Canis lupus familiaris: one gene and its partner. The protein of the gene in region 1 interacts with the protein of each later gene in a biochemical or structural test. Links are inferred from orthologs where the notes say so. Each region holds a gene or a part of one and is shown on either strand. Other genes may lie near its edges.

What was found. The genes of interacting proteins can lie anywhere in the genome.
Region 2: the proteins of SLX4 (region 1) and EME1 form a complex in vitro, tested with the Homo sapiens proteins (3 studies listed by BioGRID, with this or other methods). The link is inferred for Canis lupus familiaris from reciprocal best matches to the Homo sapiens genes SLX4 and EME1.

The regions. Positions count from the first base shown.
Region 1 is NC_049227.1:37,963,574-37,967,222, reverse strand, and holds part of SLX4 (structure-specific endonuclease subunit SLX4), read right to left. Parts: coding exon 3,365-3,649; exon of another isoform or gene 2,606-3,364; intron 1,396-2,605; coding exon 1,296-1,395; intron 759-1,295; coding exon 351-758; intron 1-350. UniProt on the Homo sapiens protein: Regulatory subunit that interacts with and increases the activity of different structure-specific endonucleases.
Region 2 is NC_049230.1:26,298,995-26,301,974, reverse strand, and holds the end of EME1 (crossover junction endonuclease EME1), read right to left. Parts: intron 2,925-2,980; coding exon 2,795-2,924; intron 2,554-2,794; coding exon 2,438-2,553; intron 1,672-2,437; coding exon 1,482-1,671; intron 1,255-1,481; coding exon 1,078-1,254; 3' UTR 512-1,077; downstream 1-511. UniProt on the Homo sapiens protein: Non-catalytic subunit of the structure-specific, heterodimeric DNA endonuclease MUS81-EME1 which is involved in the maintenance of genome stability. In the complex, EME1 is required for DNA cleavage, participating in DNA recognition and bending.

The sequences.
Region 1 (3,649 bases):
ATGGACGGCCTCGGGGGGCGAGGTATGCAGGAAGCTCCAGGCTGCTGTGTCCTTGGTATGCCAGCTGCCAGCCTGAGCAGGATCTGACCCTCGGCCACAGTCGACTACCGCAGCCAGCCCCCCTCCCAAGAGCATCCGGTGGGGTGAGCACATGGTGCTCCAGGTGCTCCAACGGTCTCCTCAGGAGGCTCACAGGGGACTGCCCTGAGCCCCACTGGGTTTTCCTTGGGTTAAATCCAGAAGGCAATGGGCTTTCTCAACGTCGGCATCAGGCCTGGCTTATGCCAACTCATGGATCCCATGGTCAGGGGACCTATGACACCACTGACCCCATCCTCCCATCTTGTTACCTTTGTGAGCTAAAGGAGCTGTCACTGCTGTCCACGGAGGAGGCCACTGATTCCTGGGACACAGGGAGCTGGGTGTCACCATCAGGATCTGGAGACTCCTCCTTTGCCTGTGACAGGTTCATCGGAGGGATGCTTCCACCAGGCTGCTGCTTTTGATTTCGGGGGCCCTTGGTCTTAGTGGACCCCTTGGACCTTTGGAGAAGAGGCCCAGAAGTGGCCCCGAGCTGGGCACGGCCAGCAGCCCTGGAGGTCCTGCTGGTGTGGGTCTGGCTGCACGGAGCCTCTGGGAGCACTTGTGAGGACTGGCTCTCATTCTCAGAGTCTGACTCCAGAGTCTGGTGAGTATACTGGAATATCTCCTTCAGTTTTAGGACCATCTGGCGTTTGGGTAGAGGGCGGACCCCAAACCTGAAATGGGGAAACAGCACAGAGCAGTTATCAGCAAATTAAATAATGACTTTGTGGAACTGAAATCTTAAATGCCTAACTTTTGTGAGCTTTCAGGGGTGTCTATTCTGCATACAACTGAGCTTACTCTGAAGAATATTCCAGAAAAGCCGTTCCCAGGTTTAGCGATGGTGGTAGTGATAACAGCCCTGGTGCCCAAGGTGATGAGCAGTATTGATTGGGATGTGACAGTTTTGATGGTTTTTTAAAAAATCAGATCTTCTTATTCAGGCTCTTAAGGCCAGGGCCCCGTCTCCATCCACATGGCACATGGAGACCTATCAGCTCATGGGGACCTGGAGTCCCATCTCTTAGCTCCTCAGGGAACTGGAGGTTTGGGGAACAGTGTGGGGAAAGACAGCAGTTGCACACGCTCCCATCCCCCAGGGGCTCCTGCTGCCAGAGCCCCACGGCGGGTCCTTCAGCTCCTGGCCTCAGCCAGGATGGACACATGGGAGGGAGTGGACCACCTGTGGGCAAGTTTTCAGGACCACTTACCTATCCAGTTCTTTCTTCAGTACCGGGGTCTCCATGATGGAGTACCTTGGCATTGGGGTGATGGGCACTTTCGGGGGCAAGTTCTTCCGATGAGCACCTTCTAGGTAGAAAAGAAACATGTTTCAGCACGAGGGACCTGGATTTACCTCTTCTGAGCTCAGCAGTATCACCAAGAAAAATACTGCGTTTGAACAAAGCCCAGCCACCGTTCTGCTCCATGAGAGCGGTACCTCCACCGCCCCTTCACCGAGACTCCCGAACTGTCTTCCCATTGGAAGGCATCACACGTGGTTAGGGCCACAGCCTTGTGCAGTGCTGATGCTGTGGAACAGGGCAGAAGCAGATAGATTCATGACTGTTGGGGGCTCAGGAGGAGGGGCACCGAGTGACTGCTAATGGGCAGGGGAAAACATTCTGGGATTAGCTGTGATGGTTGCCCAATACTACTAAGGTAATAAAAAACACTGAACTGTATGGTTTGGTGGTTTTGTGGCTACCATCTGTCACCATGCGCTGCTGTGATACCAACGACTGTAGTCGCCGTGCTGCTCCTTCATTTCCGTGATGGACTCCCCACCCCCCCATTGCAGGACAGTGTCCATGTACTAAAAACCACTGAATGGTGTATTTTAAAGGGTGAATTTTATGGTATGTGAATAATAGCTCAACAAGGCTGTTATTTTAAAAAAAGGAATCAATACTTTAAAGACAAATGAAACAACTCAGGAATATATAGAGTTCGGTTCTTATCCTTTTTAGGAGGATGGAGCCCTCTGAGACTCCAATGAGAATAGGCTTTCTCCCGAATAAAGCACAGAACTCTTTATATAATTTGCGAAAATCTGTCACCTCCTGGAAGCCCACCTCAAATTCAGACCAAGGTCCCTGGTCTCACAGCACCACCTGGGAACTGGTTAGAAATCCAAATTCTTGGTCTCTACTCTGGAGAGGCGCCTGGCCACGTGTGTTGCACAAAGCTCTCCAGGCAGTTCTGATCCCCATTCAAGGCTGGGAGTGCTGGTCAGTCATGCCCAGCTGGTTTTGAATTTGGGGAGGAAATCAAACACCAGGATGCAGGCAGATCCTCTGCCTACAGTCCGCTTCCCTGCGACCAGTCACAGCTTCGTGGCGCCCTGCCCCTTCCCAGCTTTCCCAGGGGCTGCCTGGCAGGGGCTGACACAGGGGCTCTGATAGTCTCTTATAATGACATGAGCTGGGAAAGTGCACCCTCCATGGGCTTGGGGGTGGCAGATGAGGCAGGGCCGAGGCTCACACAGCAGACGCTTCACACTCACCCCACTGGCTGCTGTTTTAATTGAGAAGAAAATTCACATAAAATTTTAAAGTGAACAATTCAGAGGCACTTAGTATACATTCACAATGCAAGCACCACCTCTAGCTCCAAAGCATTTTCATTGTCTCCTAAGGCAGTTCTATACCCAGCACCCTCCTCATTCTCCCCTGATCCCTGCTCCTGGCAACTTCTCACCCACTTTGTCTCCACAGACTGGCTCACCCTGGACATTCCCTATAAACACAGTGACACGCTGTGGTCCTTTGTGCCTCTCTGAGCATCGTGTGTTCAAGGTTCACCCAGGAGCTAACACCTGTTTTACAGCTGACGATCCTCCACCATATGTATGGACCACATTTTCTTTATCCGTTTGTCAGCTGATGGACTTGTGGCTACTGTGAGGACTGCTGCTGCGAAGTCTGTGTAAGGGATCAGTCCTGATTTCCCCTCCTCTGGATGAGCTCCCTGGGGTGGGACTGCTGGGCCGTAATGGCAGCGCTCCGTGTAACCCTGTGAGGAACCACACTTGCCCGATTTTAAGGTGTTTGCCGTGGCCTCTCAGAAGCACTGTCCACAGCTGGGGGTTTTTAGCAAGGGCCCAGGCAAGCCATGGGATCCAGGCAGGTTTAGGAACTGGTTAAGCAACATGTCTGATGGCAAGCCTGTTCTCCCTCTGCAGGGGAGGGTGGGGAGGGGGCTCGCCACAGCCCTGCCACCCCCTCCAGCCCCTTAGCATAAAACGGCCTAACAGACAACCACCCTCCCCGCTACTCACTTGGCGTCTCCAACCCTTCTGATTTCTGAGCAGCAGCAGCATCACTCAGTGTCTGGGCGGGAGGAAGGAGCTCTGAAGACTTCTGTTCCTCTCCATCCCAATTGTCCCACAGAGCTGAGTTCAAAAAGCTTGGCCTGCTGCTCGACGGCACGCTGGCCCGAGGGGACCTCTCTCGGGACTTTCTCTGGCTAGTGCAGCTCCCTCGGGCAGGGGGGGTGCCCAGGAGGGCCGGAGAGCTGCAGCCACTGCTGTCTGGAGCCTCCCCTGCCTTACTGCCCGGACTGC
Region 2 (2,980 bases), on another chromosome or scaffold:
CTGGTGTGACAGAGGCAACCTGAAAACTCAACTTTCACAGAGCTGGAGGTTTAGAATTGTTTAGGTCTAGACCTATAACCACCTCCACAATGAAGGGAAATAGCACCATGGAGCTTAAAAGTGGTGCGTTTACGAACGACTAGCACAGACGGGCAGGACTCTCCATCCTCTTGTCTGCCAGACTAAGCCTTTTCTTGCTCTGTGGCCTCCTTGGCCTTTTTTTCACAAAAGCCAGATGAAGGAATGAGAAATGGTCGTCATGGTGCTTAATCACTGAAAACTCCCAACTGCAAGCTTCTTGTCCCTCCCTCAGGAGAGCAAAAGCTTGTCATAAATCGCCAGGGAGCGGGGTTTGACTGAGCCTTAGTGGCTCATCTGGAGAGGACAGCCCCTAGTGACTGTCCCCATCCCGGGAGTGACTTATTTCTCTCCCCCCCCACCCCAACCCCCTCCCCTGGCAGCTCTGCTGCAATGGCCCACACCTTACTCAGAATCACTACACATTCCTCAGTCTTCCTTCAAGCTCCAGAGCCAGTGGTACAAATGCTTTATTGAAACTACATAGTGTGTAAAATGAAAGAGGGCAGGGAAGTTAGCATAGGGAGGAGACCCCTGCACAGGGGCCAGCTGAGGTGGCCTCAGTGGGTGAGAGGAAGGCAGGGCATGCTCAGCCCCATCCAGCCAGCCTGCTGAGGGAAGTTCACTTGTGATCTCAAGATTTGAAGCTGAGGTTCTTCTGGATTTCTACAATCATTAAATACGTGTCTGAGTGGTCGGTCTTTGTTCATTTGTGTCTTGATGGCTGCTAGGGCAGGGTGATTTGTGTACGGCAGCCAAGTTCCACTGGGAGAGGGACATTAGGGGCTTGGGAAGGGGAACACCAGTATCTCAGCTGTCTGTCTCAAGGTGTTGGGGGTGGGGTGGGGACTGCTGCAGACATGGGACACCCAGGAAGTATGTTTGAGCCTGACCAGGCTTGTGCTTTAGGAAGTGCTTCCAGTCTCTTCCTGTGGTCCTCTTCTGAGCTGGGCGAGGTAGAAATCTCCAGCTTTTCATCCCTGTCCCCAAGGACTGGCATCAGTCTGCAGTGTCTAAAGAGAGATCTGGCTGCAGGGTGGTCATCTGAAGGTAGATCCGCCTGGATAGCTCTGGTCCAATGCGGCGGCAGGTGGATGTCACACCTTCCCCACGGCGCACCTGTATGTCTGCAAGCAGATTCTGGCGTTCTTGCTCCAAAAGACACCGTCTATAAGCCTGGAAGTGGTGAATGACCTCTCAATACTGTATCATCCAGGGTCACCCTGTCCATCAACGAGGGGGCAGTAAGCTTGGGTGGGGGGACGAGAACCTGTCCTCTCCCTGGGTCTGTGTTCACTGATCTCAGCAGGCCCGTGGTGCTGACTACGAGTGCCCTCCACGGAAACTGCCTGGGAGTCCACTAATGCCACAGGGTGTTGGAGGTGACCACTGGAGCAGCCTACCTGGACTAGAAGCTGGGGGGATGGATAGGTGTCCACAATGGCACTGGCCATTTCCAGGCTGACTCGGTTCAGCTGCTGAATCTGCCTCCTCCAGACCAGTGCAAGCCCCCTGCCGGCACGGTCTACCTTTGCCCCTCCAGCCCAGTCACTCTCCAGGCAGAAGGAAAAACTAGTTTGATCTCGGAACTTCCTGTAAAGAGCAGTTGAAGAGTTGTGAGTCACTTGTCACTCCACTTGTCCCCTTCACTGGGAACTTAGAAACCCCTCCACCAACCTCATGAGAGGCAGGCACAGTGTCATATCTGGTCTATGTGAGTGCTTATTTTGTTCCCAAGCAGTGTCCCTTAAGAATGATATCAAGTCCTTTTCATAAAGACACAATGTGCCAGAAAAGAACCAGGTAGTTTCACATGTTGAAACTGCGCTGTATTGACTAGAGAGGCAGTGTGCACAGGGACAACCACTAGGGGCTAGGTGTCAGGCAATCTGAGAGTCTGGTTCCAGTTCCTCTAACTTGCTAGGACCTCAGACAAAGCAGTCTTCAGGCCTCCATTCCCCAAGCATGAAATGGACTCAGACTGGACTGTCTTTAAGTCCGCTACTCATTTTAAATTTTGACCACAAACACTCCTACAGCTGAGTAGGCTAAAAGCTTGTTTTATGAGGGCTTATTACATCGTTACCTGACCTGGGATAGCCAGTAACCTGGCTCACTGGTGACCCAGCACCAGCCTGCAGAACACGAACTTACAGATGAGCTACCGCAGAACATTTTAAAAGGACTGGGCTTGAGGGCTCTTCACAGGCATCCCCAGCCTGGGCTGACTCCTGCCACCAGCCTGGCAGACAACGGGCTGGTGGCAAAGTTCAGGGGAAAGAGACCATAGGTGGGTCCAGAACTGCTATATGGCCCAAGGCCCAGCAGCGGAGCCCAGACTTGCTGGGGACACACTCACTTGAAAGGCGCTTCGGCCACCGCCTTTGTAAACGCGCATGCGAAGTTGGCCAGCTCTTTCCAGCTCTGCACGATTCGGGCCTGGGCTTGTGTGTACAGCTGTAGATCCACCAATGCCTAGAGACCCCAAAGCAGGACGGGCTGGAGGGGTGCAGGGACACTGGTCTGTGGTTCCTCCCACCCACCTGCCAGCCAAACCCAGAGAGAGCCCAGCCCCTTGGCTCCCTGCTTAGCCTTTTCTCTCCTACCCGGTGCTGAAGCAGAAAGGCATGACTGGCTGGCACCTTGCTCATCTAGAGCAAATCAGGTTAGATGAGAGTAGGAGCCCAGCCTGACTCAGGTAATGTGAAGTTCTTACCTCTTCCACATCTACTCTGGACACGGTGCGCCCTGCATTGGCCTCTGGCTGTCTCTGCTGCTTCTCCTTGGCCTGTTCTCTATTTGCCGCTCCCTGCTTCCTTCTTCTGGGAGGATTTGGAACACTGGAACTGGGGAGGAAATCAGAGCACGGCTGCTCCAGGCCAGGCTCGGGCAGAGCAGGGGT